Linked DNA regions of Astyanax mexicanus. The protein of the gene in region 1 binds, or shares a complex with, the protein of each later gene. Links are inferred from orthologs where the notes say so. Each region holds a gene or a part of one and is shown on either strand. Other genes may lie near its edges.

What was found. Proteins that work in one complex are often made in the same cells at the same time.
Region 2: cacna1sa (region 1) and cacnb3a share a complex: the UniProt entries of both Homo sapiens proteins name them as parts of the calcium channel complex. The link is inferred for Astyanax mexicanus from reciprocal best matches to the Homo sapiens genes CACNA1S and CACNB3.

What each region holds. Positions count from the first base shown.
Region 1 is NC_064431.1:32,300,953-32,308,343, reverse strand, and holds the start of cacna1sa (calcium channel, voltage-dependent, L type, alpha 1S subunit, a), read left to right. Parts: upstream 1-4,355; 5' UTR 4,356-4,803; intron 4,804-7,391. Other genes in the region: achaete-scute homolog 5-like, read left to right, coding at 725-1,225. UniProt on the Homo sapiens protein: Pore-forming, alpha-1S subunit of the voltage-gated calcium channel that gives rise to L-type calcium currents in skeletal muscle.
Region 2 is NC_064420.1:16,644,645-16,652,654, reverse strand, and holds the start of cacnb3a (voltage-dependent L-type calcium channel subunit beta-3a), read right to left. Parts: upstream 3,227-8,010; 5' UTR 2,660-3,226; coding exon 2,579-2,659; intron 765-2,578; coding exon 672-764; intron 1-671. UniProt on the Homo sapiens protein: Regulatory subunit of the voltage-gated calcium channel that gives rise to L-type calcium currents. Increases CACNA1B peak calcium current and shifts the voltage dependencies of channel activation and inactivation.

The sequences.
Region 1 (7,391 bases):
TACTAGCCCTAAACTGCCAGATTCTAACTTGGCTTGTAATGTTTTGAACGCCAGAAATGCTAAAATATATAAACAAATGCAATTAAGTTAAGCAGATAAAATATGAAATACCATGCGTTTATACTGTACTGTCTGTACTGTATGTAGACAAGGTTGTTGTTTAATGTGTTTAATGTAAGTGTGATAGACACTGTGGTTTGTGGTCAGTGTGTAGTTTGGGTTTTTTATGTGAACTAAAGTGATATTTTACATCAAACCGACTCCTGCCTTCAGGTGCTTTTACAGAGTGTTATATTACAGTATATTACAGCGTATCGTGTTACAGAGTGCGCAGAACAGCACGTTTGAAGTGTTTTATAAGGATTAATGGAGCCTGAGGCCGTCTGTAATCAGTCTAATCTGTGTGTGTTTAATCTTCAGCCCTGTGTCTAACAGAGAGGAGATGATGAAAGCGTCTGATTGGCTGATGGCACTGCTGCTGCTACAAAGGAGGAGCTCACCTACAAAGGTGTGAAGAGACAGTGAGGATGACTATAAGAAGATGATGAGGACGATGAAGCTGGGGCTCTGGTGCGCCCTCTGCTGGGCTTAACTATGAGTTAATTGAGTGTTTTTTATTTATTTTTTTAATGCTTGTTGTGACAGTAGGTTCTGGTTCTGTGGTTCTGGTACTGTAGGTGTATTAGGAGTGTTCAGGTGGGAATGGACTGATGTAAAACCCACCATGAGCTCCACCTTCTCCCACCCATACTGCCACCTCAGCCAGAGCAGCCTGCACTGCGCCATGTCTCCGCCTGGTGGCCACCCTGATAACCGCCTCCACGCCCAGCTTCGCTCCCTCCCCCTGCTGCTGTACCCAGGAAGGGTCCAGGCCGGACTCTACAACGGCCCCTACCTGCCCTACCTGGGGCCCCTGTACGAGTGTCCCTTCGAACCCGCCTTCATCCAGAAGCGAAACGAGCGCGAGCGGCAGCGGGTGAAGTGCGTCAACCAGGGTTATGCCAAGCTCCGAGACCACCTGCCGGGCGGGACCGCCGACAAGCGCATGAGCAAAGTAGAGACACTGAGGGCCGCCATTCGCTACATCAAGCACCTGCAGAGGCTGGTGGAGGAGCGGGAGGAGGGCCGGGGTCACGACAGGTCAGACATCGCAGAAGGTAGCGACGGAGAAGCTCCACCCACAATCTCTTCGCTTGAGCTCCAAAGCAAGGCCACTGGGAGCTAGATGTGTGAACTGGGCTTGGATTCGGCCCTCACTGAACTTTAGTCCAAATATTTACAATAAACTTTTAATAAACCCCCAAGCACACACCTGAGCTGTACAGGTGTTCACCAGTACATGTGAATTTCAATTGTTACAGCGAGGTAAAACACACATGGGCAATGTAACACCTGTACTACATTGGTATACACTTGAACCTAGTTGAACAACACACAAAGAAGAAGCTATCAATAACAATAATGTGGAGAAGCTCCACCTACAAGCCCTTTAAGGCCACTGGAAGCTATATATGTAATCTGGGCTTGGATTCGGCCCTCATTGAATTTCAGAACAAACCGAGTTCAACATTTTTCAACAACATTTGCGGGCATAATCAACAACCCTACAAACTCTAATGCCGTTTTCACACCTGTGCTTAGTTTTTTATGGTCAGAATCAGTTGATGAGTTTGTTTATTTGGACGTTTTTTCCCCCTTTGGTTTGGTTTGGTTTCACACAGGCATAAAACCTAAACTCACTAAAATATGCACCAATAAACCATGCAAGGACATCATCTTCTCTGATTGGTCAAAGCTGTCTGTGCGGGAGTTAAAAAGTAAATATAGTGAGAAGATCTGTACATCTGTATATCTGTGCAGTGTAAAGCTGCTTTAAGACTGAACACGGAAACACTCCTTTTTCAAACTGTGTTTTCAAATCACAGCTGCACAGCAATGAACACAGCACAGACCTTGTGCGTAAACAGCATGGAGCAGCAGAGACAGCGTTTGTTCGTAGCTGTGGTAATTAGCGTTATCTGGCTAATATATCAGACCTTCTCTAGCAGGTCTTGATCACACCTGCTCGGTCAAACCGCATTAAGGATACAAATACTGCTGGTGTGAAAACGCTTTAAGAAATGTTATTAATACAGTAACACCTGAATCAGGAAGCATACCTGAATCAAGCAATTTACCTGAGCCAGGTAACACACATGAGCAATGTCAAAAATAAATAAATAAGCAGTGTTGTGCTAAAGTCTGGCTCTCCTTGGTGATGTGCAGAAGCGTCACGCAGCAGTATGGGTACTATAGATTACGGTGCTGGTGATTCTGTATCTACTGTAACTGTAGATTAACCCTTATTTATAAACAGAAATAAAATAATTCTGAAATGAATAAAAAAATAATAAAGACTAACTGGATTAATTATACAGAATACAATTAAGAAACACACAAACCTTCAGATGTGAAAACACCTTCTCGTTTCTGGACGTCCGTAGTTGTTCAGAGTTCTGTGGGACCATTGCTGTAGTGCACTATTGAAGACTGTGGGGCTGTGAGGGTGTTGGGGGTGTATATGAACATGAACAGGTGCTGTAAAGACAGCAGATGGAAGCTCATCACCGCAGGAACTCTCTGGATGTGTTATTGGATGTGACTTTACACCCTGTATCTGTTTTTATTTTTGTCTGTTTTAGTGTTTTTTATAATAAAGTAATATAAAAAAAATGTAATAAATAATAAATAATCTAATAAATAATGTAATAAAAACTCACCTGATTGTGAGAAATATGATGCATAAAGCAACAGTCTTTCTGAACCTGAATATGTGCACTACCTTAATATTAAAATGAATGAGTTTGATGGAAAATCTACTTCTTTATTTTTGACGTTTACAAATTATTGTAGCTAACAGGAAATAGAATCGTATACCTATTAACCAACACTGAAGATACAGAGCTAATGTAAGTTAGCTAGCAGGTAATAGAAGTTTATACCTATTAATCAGCACTGAAGTTTTTAAGGTAATGTAGCTAACAAATAGTAGAAGCTAATTAGCATTGAAGTTATGAAACTAATGTAGCTAACAGAAGCATATACCTACTAATTAGCACTGAAGCTACAAAGCTAATGTAGCTAACAAGTAATAGAAATGTATACCTATTAATTAGCATTAAGCTACAGAGTTAATGTAGCTAACAGGTAATAGAAGCATATAATAATCACTTAGTACTGAAGCTACGAAGTTAATGTAGCTAGCTAACAGGTAATATAAGCTTATACCTATTAATTAGCACTAACGCTATGAAGCTAATGTAGCTAACAGGTAAAAGAAGTATATACATACTAATTAGCACAAAAGTTATGAAGCTAATGTAGCTAACAGGTAATATAAGCTTCCTATACCTATTGATTAGCATTGGAGTTATGAAGCTAGTGTAGCTAACCAGTAATTAGCACTAAAGCTACAAACTTAATGTAGTTAACAAATAATAGAAGCCTGCACCTACTATTTAGCACTAAAGCTGTAAAGCTAATATAGCTAACAAATAATATAACTAATACCTACTAATTAGCACTAAAGCTGTAAAGCTAATATAGTTAACAAGAAATAAAAGCTTATACATATCAATTAGCACTGGAGTTAAGAAGCTGATGTTTCTAACAGGTAATATAAGCTTTTACCTACAAATTAGCACTGAAATTATGAGGCTAATGTTGCTTACAAATAATATAAGTGCATACCTATTAATTACTACAAAAGGGCAAAGACAACTCATCCAGGAGATCCCTAGAACAATCTAAAGGTCTCACTTGCCTCAGTTAAGGTCAGTTGTAATGATTTAATAATAAGAAACCCTGTGATGGGCAGGGGGTGCTTTGAAACCAGGAATTCTGCTTTGTTCATATGCTGCTGTAATTTTTTTTATAAATTGAGTAGCTTCCAGCCTCAGTGTTGTAGGCTGTAAGAGCAAGTTACTTTTGTTCTGTGTTGCTGAGGTGTTGCTGTGTTTTTACCTCGTGCTACAGTACAGTGTTCACGCTTTTTTGTACAGGATTTTACTGTTAGTGTTGAATTTACTTTATTTTCTTTAAGCTGTTTTTGTGATTGAACCTCTATAAATTGAGAATGCCATGTTTCTATAAACCTGTTTAACTTTTATATTTTAATTAATTGAGTCAAAAAAGGTTTTTTTTAATCCAGTGCGTAGGAGTCCAGTATTAATATGTTCTCCACTATGTTGGACCCGGTATATAATAGATTATAGGGGTCCCACTGCAGACCCCCTGAGTAAGTGGTGAAGCTAAACTAAGTCCTCAGTGTTGGTATGTGTGTGTGTGTGTGTGTGTGTGTCCAGTCCTGACAGGGTCGGCAGTGACCCGGCTGAGCGGCTGGGTTGGGTTCAGGCTGTAAGGTGACACCACAGGTCATTCACTTACTGATCCATCAAAGCTTCTTCTATCAGCATTTATAACTAATCTAATACTGTAATAAAACAATAACCTACACAGATTAAATACATTCTTCATTATGACCAACTATACAGACATCAAACTGTCCACACAAACACACACACACTGTGATCCTCCCCCCTTAATGAGTGACATGCATTGTCTATATTTGTTCTCTGAGAAGGACAGCTGCTCTACTGACCAACACTTCCAGAGAGAGAGAGAGAGAGAGAGAGAGAGAGAGAGAGAAAGAGAGAAAGAGAGAGAGAAAGACCGGTAGAGTCCAGCTGGGCAGATTGAATTGGGGAAGTAAAGGAGAGGAAGAAAGGTTACAACAAAATAGAGTGGAATAAACAAAAAAATCAGGTAAGTGTTACAGTCTGTGTTTTCCCCAGTTACAGCACAGTTAACAGAGTTAAATATATTTGATATGTTATATACATGTTAACAGCTTTGTTAATTGATATGATTTATTTGGGTTAATTGCTGTATTCTAGTTGGGTTAATTGGGGTACTATAGGTGGGTTATCTGGTGCGTTCTACTTAGGTTAATTGATCTGTTACAGTTGTGTCTATTGGTGTGTTATAACTGTGTTAAATGCTGTGTTATAGTTGGGTTAATTGGTGTGTTATATACATGTTAATAGCTATGTTAATTGATGTGATTTAGTTTAGTTAACTGGGGTGTTATAGATAGTTTAATTGATGTGTTATAGTTGGGTTAATTGTTGTGTTATAGCTTTGACAATTTTCTTGGGTTAATAACTGTGTTAATTGCTGTGTTATAGTTGGGTTAATTTAAGTGTTTTTCTTGGGTTAATTGGTGTGTTATAACTGTGTTAATTGCTGTGTTATAGTTGGGTTAATTTAAGTGTTTTTCTTGGGTTAATTGGTGTGTTAACTATAGTTATATTTATTGATGTGATATAATGAGATGGATTGTCTATATTATATGGGTTAATTTAGGGGTACATTAGATGGGTTAATTTGTGTGTTATAACTGTGTTAAATGCTGTGTTATAGTTGGGTTTATTTATATGTTATAGCTATGCTAATTGCTGTGTTCTACTTGGGTTGATTGATGTGTTACAGTTGGGTTAATTTGTGAGTTAAAACTGTGTTTAATGCTGTGCTATTTGGGTTTACTCTTGTGTTATAGCTATATTCATTACTGTTTATAGTTGGGTTTATTTATATGTTATAACTATGCTAATTGCTGTGTTTTTCTTTGGGATAATTGCTGTGTTTTTTCTTCGGTTAATGGGTGTGTTATAATTGTTAATTGATGTGTTATAGATGAGTTAATTGGTGTGTTTAGTTGGGTTAATTGCTGTGTCGGGTCTCAAGAGGTTAAAGCAGGTGTGATAAATCAAGGTGTATTATAGTGTGTGTTATAGTAGGTGTGTTAAATCAGGGTGTATTATACTGTGTGTTATAGCAGGTGTGATGAATCAGGGTGTATTATACTGTGTGTTATAGCAGGTGTGATAAATCAGGGTGTTATATATTAGTGTGTGTTATGGTCTGTGTATTATTAGTATGTTTTATAGTGTGTGTTATTGCAGGTGTGATGAATCAGGGTGTATTATAGTGTGTGTTATAGCAGGTGTGGTAAATCAGGGTATGTTATAGTGTGTGTTATAGCAGGTGTGATGAATGAGGGTGTATTATAGTGTGTGTTATAGCAGGTGTGATAAATCAAGGTGTTATATATTAGTGTGTGTTATGGTCTGTGTATTATTAGTATGTTTTATAGTGTGTGTTATAGCAGGTGTGATGAATCAGGGTGTATTATAGTGTGTGTTATAGCAGGTGTGATAAATCAGGGTGTTATATATTAGTGTGTGTTATAGCAGGTGTGATGAATGAGGGTGTATTATAGTGTGTGTTATAGCAGGTGTGATAAATCAGGGTGTGTTATAGTGTGTGTTATAGCAGGTGTGATGAATCAGGGTGTATTATAGTGTGTGTTATAGCAGGTGTGATAAATCAGGGTGTGTTATAGTGTGTGTTATAGCAGGTGTGATGAATCAGGGTGTATTATACTGTGTGTTATAGCAGGTGTGATGAATAAGGGTGTATTATACTGTGTGTTATAGCAGGTGTGATAAATCAGGGTGTTATATATTAGTGTGTGTTATGGTCTGTGTATTATTAGTATGTTTTATAGTGTGCGTTATAGCAGGTGTGGTAAATCAGGGTGTATTATAGTGTGTGTTATAGCAGGTGTGATAAATCAGGGTGTGTTATAGTGTGTGTTATAGCAGGTGTGATGAATCAGGGTATGTTATAGTGTGTGTTATAGCAGGTGTGATGAATGAGGGTGTATTATAGTGTGTGTTATAGCAGGTGTGATGAATCAGGGTGTGTTATAGTGTGTGTTATAGCAGGTGTGATGAATCAGGGTGTATTATACTGTGTGTTATAGCAGGTGTGATGAATCAGGGTGTATTATAGTGTGTGTTATAGCAGGTGTGATGAATCAGGGTATGTTATAGTGTGTGTTATAGCAGGTGTGATGAATGAGGGTGTATTATAGTGTGTGTTATAGCAGGTGTGATGAATCAGGGTGTGTTATAGTGTGTGTTATAGCAGGTGTGATGAATCAGGGTGTATTATACTGTGTGTTATAGCAGGTGTGATGAATCAGGGTGTATTATAGTGTGTGTTATAGCAGGTGTGATGAATCAGGGTATGTTATAGTGTGTGTTATAGCAGGTGTGATGAATGAGGGTGTATTAAAGTGTGTGTTATAGCAGGTGTGGTAAATCAGGGTATGTTATAGTGTGTGTTATAGCAGGTGTGATGAATGAGGGTGTATTATAGTGTGTGTTATAGTAGGTGTGATAAATCAGGTGTATTATACTGTGTGTTATAGCAGGTGTGATAAATCAGGGTGTATTATAGTGTGTGTTATAGCAGGTGTGATGAATCAGGGTGTGTTATAGTGTGTG
Region 2 (8,010 bases), on another chromosome or scaffold:
ATATGGCCAAAACTTAAATCACAATATCTTTTTTTATTTCATTCAATACAATATAATTCCATTATTGACACGATATAAACTGATATGAGTAATGATTTGCATTATAATGGGTAGGTTTGCCACAATAGCTAATATATTGCCCCAGAGCAAATGGTGATAAATAATATTACTGTCACTTTAAGAGCATTTTATGCCCCTGGTATAATGATTAAATCATGGTATAAGAATACAATTACACTCTTTTGAAAAGAAATTAGCTTTTATACAACCAGAACAGTGGATGTGTGAAAGCTAATGTCAACACTGCCCTCTAGTGTTCAGGATTTAAAACTCAACACAAAATGAATCTGAGTCTGATAAGTTTATGCCACTCCTGATGCAAAAATTCAAGCAGTTGAGCTTGGTTTGATGGCTTCTGATTATCCATCTTCCTCTTGATTATATTCCAGAATTTTTCAATTTGGTCAAATTAAAGAAACTCATCATTAATTTTATGCGGTCTCTTATTTTTCTCCAGAGCTGTATATAATTTTTTGATGGTGATGATGAGATAGATGATGGTGAAAGTACTTCTGGTTTCTGCTTAATATTATGAATACCATCCTTCTCAATTTTATCCTAACATCCTCCCCATATCACAGGGGTACAGCAGATGAACAGATGGCGCTTACCTGGCGCTTAATGAAGCTGGACGTGGTGTCAGAGGAGGTGCTGCCATCCGAGCGTTTAAAGCGGCTTTTGCGTTTTGGCAACTTTCTCGGCAACTACATAAAAAAATACAAATTACATCTCAGAAAATGGGAAACATCTTCACAAAAACATGTGTTTTTCAAAATTTGGTAATTTGTACAAGATTTGAGGCCTAAAACCCTAAATGCAGGTGAAATAGGCCTATAACAAATATGAAGACTGGAACAGTAAAATTTATGAAGGCACAGTACATGTCTTAACAATAGCCACTGACAATATATTTTTATATATACATTTTTATATATCATATATAATATATATATATTTTTATATATTATATATATATGTATTTTGTTTGTCAGTAAACTGCTGGTTGAATTTGTATAAGACGGTGAAATAAAGTTTTTATGCTGCTATTACAATTATTTCACAAATTGTGCCATCCCTTCGAAAACCATTTTTTTTCCCACACAAACCACCTGTGCACCTGGGAATTAAATCTCACACCAACGTAACCTGTCTGGTATTACTATAATTCATCATTCTTTCTGTTTGCACCAAAAAGTCACTTTTAGTAGGACAGTAGTAAACTTTAGCTATATATATATTTTTTATAGCAAGCAGCTCCCTTCAACCTTACAAGCAGTTTTTACTGTATATTTAACACAGTGCCAGCATAACCTTATATTTCAGTTAAGGAAAAGTGCAAAATATGAAAATCACTGCAACATAAAAGAGTTTTTTTTGACAAAAACACAAGCCTATCTAATAAGATCCACCTGGCAGCATATCTATATGCAATTCTTTTTTGAAAATCACATTAAAATAGTCATTTGGATCAACAGAATTAATTAAATAAAGCCATTTCCTAGCATCTCACGTTTCACAGATGAATCCTACAAAACAGTTTTCTAATAACCTGCTTTAATAAATTAATGTAAACAGTCAGGGTTTAACCCCTGTGGGTCTGGCTTAACTAAAACCTAGAAACCTCATTTATTATGAGACATTCACATGCCTGATCTTGGTCCTGGTGCCTTGTTGCCCTGCTTTTACACACCACTGCTGCTTTAAAAAGGCTTATAAAAGATCTGGGGCGGTTTTCCCAAAAGGTTGAGCAAGCTTTACACTGAGCTCTTTCTCTTTCTGTTAAAATGTTTTTAATGCTAAGATGCTTTTGGGAAACTGGGCCCAGACTGGTTGAATCAGGTGTGTTGGGATCAGGGACAGTGATGAATATGTGCAGGGCAAGGAGGCACTGGGACCAGGGTGGAGGAACACTGGTTTAGGTCGAGCTTCACAGGAGGAACCTGCAGATAAAGCCTCCCTGCAGCCAAACTTCAGCCTGTGTGTTTACTGGGAGCGGTGGAGCCTCCTGCTGACTGGTGTGGATGGTGTAGAAGGAGGGTGCTGCTGCTGCTGATGATGATGCTTACAGGTGAAGAACTTTAAGTGATAAACGAGGTGAAGATGGATGGAGCTGTTTTTTCTTCTGAAAGAGGACAATTGTGAAGTGTTTTTTCGTGTATAAACACAAACACACACTCTCGTACCTACACACACACAGATAAGCTACACAAGCTAGTCAGCTAATTCCCAGCACAGCAGTGATGGAGGCCTCAGAGCTGCGGAGGAAATCTCAGCCCTTAGCTAAAGTGAGCTTCACCGGGTTAAACCGGGCTATAGGGCCGCTTCTCCTATCCCTGCGCCCGTAAAGGGCCGCGGTGCGGTAACGGCGGGTCTGGCAGCGTCTGCACGCCGCGGCTGTGGATCCAGCCCCCGGTAGGAGACGCTGCTGCTGCCCCGGAGCTCCAGCCCCAGCCAACCCAGAGCTGGAGAGACCCTCCCCGCGGCGGTAGTACAAGCGAGCGGCCCCGGCTACACCTACCTGAAAATAGTGGGACTGGGAGCCGGTCTCGGTACCGGGCAGCGGGTCTGCGGCCGATTTGGACATTTTCACTTGGACCATGTATCTGCGCGCGCAGGGCGGCGGGCGAGGGGCTGAGCGGAGGAGGCGGAGGGAGCGCGCACATTCGGGGGGAGCGGAGCGAGCATCCGCCCGCAGGAGCAGCGCTGGAGCCGGGAGAGAGCGGGTCTGATCCGCCGCGGAACCATTAAAAACCCGGAGCCCGGGGAGCACAGAGACCCAGCGCCGAGAGAGAGAGAGCCGAGCGATAGATCCGCATCCTCTCTCTCTCTTTACACCTCTCTATCTCTACCACTCTCTCTATCTCTACCTCTCTCACTCTACCACTCACTCTCTCTCTTTCTCCATCTCTCTCTACCTCTCTTACTCACTCTCTCTTTCTCTATCTCTCTCTACCTCTCTTACTCACTCTCTCTCTACTATCTCTCTACCTCACTCTCCCTACCACTCTATTTCTCACTCTCTCTTTACCAGTCTCTCTCCCTACTTTTACCACTGTCTCTATCTCTACCGCTCTCGCACTCTCTCTCTCTTACTTTTCTTTGTTTTAGAACTTAAAATGTGTGTGTGTGTTTTTTTTAGATATTTCGTATAATAAAGAATATTCCAGTTCCTTTCTAATACAACATCATGAACAATAAGTATTATAATAAATAAAAGATTAAAATGAAGAGAAAACACATCATCACCCCAAATTATATCCCCATCCAGTCCAGTGATTCAAACTGGAAGCAAATTCAGGTATATTTTACAGTTTTTCTGGATTGTTTACACACAATTTCTGGTACTTGAGACACTATGACCACAACATGTAACTTACACACCTACTGCTTGAACCAGTTCTGCTAAACTACAAGCACAATTCCTGATTTACACTCAAATTGCAGTTATAAAAAACACACTTTTTCAAAACACATACACAATTTTCTGCATTTGGCACAATTTTCCTGAATAAAATCTCTTGTTTTCACAAGGAACACACTGTTATTCAAAACTTTAAAGTTAATTACCCTACTATGCACACTGACTGGTCACATGGGCAAACACCCTTCACACAGGTTTACAATCAGCAACTTAAGCTTTAGCAGACCGAAACAGAAGACAGGATGCAGCATAGTTTTACATTATACAATAAATTCTTCTGTTGTTTTGTATGTAAACCACTGCATCTTTGTGGTGGTTGCATGGTACACTGTGTACATTGTTTTGGTTGGAAAAATAAAATGTATTTTTACTGTATATTTCTGTGTTCTGAGTATAAAAACGATATTATTAAATATTTTACAACGCACTTATGTATTTACTGTCTGTAGTAAGTGTAAAACTGAACAAAAAGTCATTATGATAAATGGAGAATAGTGTTTTACACTGAGAACATCAGTGTTCAACTGCTTTTTTAGCTTGTCTTTTTATATGATGGTGTGTGTGTGTGTGTGTCATCTGAACACAAAATACCCTTTTGTAAAGAGATAACACTTTTGAATGTAAAGTTTTATTTTGCAGGAGAACTGAAGGGTTTTGCCCATTGTGTGCGTGTTTGTTGGATTTGTGTGTAGAGTTCTGTGAATATGAGGCATGTTTTCAGAAAATGTGTGTAAACAATTCAGAAAAACTGTAATGGAATGGTTATTGGTTCTTTTAATCCTAATCGAATTGCGAGGCTTTGTTTTAATCTTGTTTCATAGCACCATCTGGTGTCCTCAAGACTGTATTACTAGAAATCCATACTGTTTTATTTTAAAGGGACTGAAAACACTTTCTAAAATATTACACTGAATATCTTCATACTTACCTGAGATAAATTTAGTCCTGTCATGCTAAAATTTCACATAGATGAAAACGATCAAAGGAAATTAAAACATATCTTTGAAACAAAACAAGGTCATAAATAACAGTTCAACAACTGCAACCTAAGCGATAGGTTTACTACAATTGTCCACCCTGTCGTGCAGGTTGCCATAACATGGTGAATGTATGCATGACAGGAAAATAAAAAGGCCAAAAGGCACAGTATTCTGATAATGAGCAGCTGAGGGACAAGTGACTACATCAGGATAATCTCTGAAGAATAGCTCCTTCCGTCCAAACGGAATCTCAGACCAGGGAGACAGCTTACCTTTCAACATCACAACAGCCTAAAGCACAACACGTACAACACTGAAGCAGCTTCAGGATAAGACTGTGTATATCCTTCAGTGATGCTGCCCCAGCCTAGACATAAACCACAATCGCACTTCTGCTATAGTCTGAAAACATTTGGGTTTAACATTAAAAGATGTACATAAGACAAAAGATAAAAAAAATAGATTTTTTTCCCCCAGATATTTCCATCTGGATCTGATATCTGACAGTTCAGAAGATAGCCCTTTTTTTAATGAATTTAGTTGTAATTCTTTGTTTGCAGTTACATCACTAACCATGTGCATTCTTCTTTCATTGTAGCAAGTTTAGGTGGGTTAGTTTTGGGGAGGTTTCTCCCTTTAGTCTTCTCTTTAGCAAGAAAAATGCATGATCTAAAGGGTTAAGTCTTGAGATTGACCCGGCCAGTCTAAAACCTTTTACTTATGACTTCCGGTATGGCGCCGACACTAGCAGCAGCTTAAGTTTCAGGCTCCCAGACGGTCTTACTCCCCCTTCAACAAATACTGAGGATTCAAGTAGATTTTTTTTTCTTTTTATGCCATGAAAGGGGGGCACAAGAGAAAGACAAGAGGAAATTTGGATCAAAACCCCAAAACGGACGACAAACCCTCGAATGTAAGTGAAAACGCCAGCGACGACGCTAGCAATCTCACCGAGTATCAAGCTATGGAAGCTATCCAAGCTAACATCATTACTGAGATAAAGGAGATCCGTTCGGACGTGAAAAAAGAACTCGGCGAAACTGTGCTTATGTTGAAAAAGGAACTGGTGGGCTTTAGAGAAGAAGTCAATCAGAAGCTGAACTCTATCAGATCTGACCTGAAAGAAATAACTGGTAGAGTCGAGGAGACGGAGCAGCGAGTAGCCGAAATGGAGGAGTGGAGCACCGAAGCTAAGCAGGTGCTCTCCCACACTTTGGAGCTCCAGGAGAGCATTCAAGCTCAGCTAACAGACCTAGAGGCGCGCTCACGCAGAAATAATATACGCATACATGGGATTGTGGAGGGAGCCGAGGGAGAGAATATGGAGGTATTTCTGGAAAAGTTTATCACAACAGAGTTGTCCCTCCCCGACGCTACCCTCGGTATACAGCGCTCCCACCGGTCTCTCGGACCCAAACCACCGCAAGGCTCTAACCCGAGGTCTATAGTGGTCTGTTTCCAGGAGTATAAAACCAAAGAGCTGGTGCTCCGCTCCGCTTGGAAAAAGAAGGAGATACACCATAGTGGCAGAAGGGTGTTTTTTGAGCAAGACTACCCGTCTGAAATACTGGGAAAAAGAAAAGCCTTTTCCACAATCAGGAAAGCGCTTAAAGAAAGGGGGCTCCGTTTCCAGACCATTTACCCAGCGAAACTCCGGGTCTTTTTGGACACCGGACCAATTGTTTACAACAGCGCTGCGGAGGCGAGAGAGGATCTGAAGAAAAGAGGAATAGACTCTCTTGAAGCTGAGGTCACTGAACGAGGCGCACACTCGTTGAGAATGAAAGATCTCTCATGGGAACCAGCGGGAGGAACATCACGCAGGCAACGCGAGGCTCGATTTAGGCATATTCAGGAGAAGCTGAAGGGATTCCGCCACCATGCCGATACTACACGAGAGCCCGCAAACATTTAAAGAACTGGATAGCTTCCCATAACATCTGGTAAAAGCACTTATTTAGTAACTTGAACACTTTGGACACTGAAATATAAAACTTACGTGAGAATTTCCTGTTATAAGCCCAAACTTTGAAACTGACCGTATGTCTGGTGATTGATGTTTGCGTTTTATGTGCACTGTTCTGATGCCGAACGGCCAGAAATACCAGATCGCACAGGGAAGGGCCCCTCTAGGTCGTAGGGCTTCCCTTCCTAATTCAGAAGTTGAGTTCATACTTCAGAAATGGAAGTCACTTTTGTTGAACTTGTGTATTAGTCAGTTAAGTTTCCTTTTATGTTTCAGGCAGATTCATTGTTCAAAGCATCTAGTGATATTTAAATACTGTGGTAAAGAGTTTTTCATTCTTTGACAAGGGAAATGCATCATCAAAAATATAAAATAATTACTCTTAATGTGAACGGGTTACATAATCCTATCAAACGAAGTAAGGCAATATCTAAAATGAAAAAAGAAAAACATGATATAATTTTTTGGCAGGAGACACATCTTTCGAATATTGAACATGAGAAGTTGCGAAAAATGGGATTTAAAAACCTATATTATTCTTCTTTTGAAAAGAAAAACACAAGAGGGGTAGCTATACTTATCCCAAACAGAATTAATTTCCAGTTTTCATCACAGATTATCGATAAAGAGGGACGTTACATAATGGTGAAGGGACTTCTTGATCACAAAGAAATTACATTGCTGAATGTATACAGACCACCAGGTAGCGATAAAAAACTGATTAAGAAGATTTTTAATATGATATTGTTAGAAACATCAGGGGTGCTGATATGTGGTGGGGACTGGAATATTCATTTACACCCCTCCTTAGACTCCTCAAGTAGAATAAAGACTATAAACCCTGATGCAAAATACATTAATAAATTACTTAAAGAATCGGGTTTGGTAGATATGTGGAGGGATCTTCATCCACTTGATAAACATTTCACTTTCTTTTCCCATGCGCATTCCGTTTATACAAGGATTGATTATTTTTTCATGTTTAACTCAGACAGACATAGGATTCTGAACTGTGAAATAGGGATAAGAGACATCTCTGACCATGCAGGTGTATATTTAACATTACATTTGGACAATATGCCCAAGGAGACTGCATGGAGGCTTAACACCAGTGTTCTGAATGACCCTCAGTGTGTAAAATATATAAAGAAAGAATTTGAAGACTACATGATTAATAACAATAATGAAACAGTAAGCCCCAGCATATTGTGGGATGCTGCAAAAGCTGTAATTAGAGGTAAACTTATAATGTGGACAGCTCAAAAACAGAAGGAAAGAGGAAAAGAAATTAGAGATTTAACCGAAACATTAAAACACCTGGAAAGTAAACACATGATACATAATGAAGCTAGTGTTTTAGATCAGATTCGAAATACAAAGCAACATTTAAATGAATTGTATGAAAATAAAATAGAGCAGAAATTGAAACTAATTAAACAAAATTATTATGAGAATGGCCCAAAATTCAAAAAAATATTGGCATGGAGATTGCGTAAACAACAAGCAGAGAGATTTATACAAAAAGTAAAGGACCCCCAGACTAATAAAATGTGTGACAAAATGGAAGACATACAACATTCTTT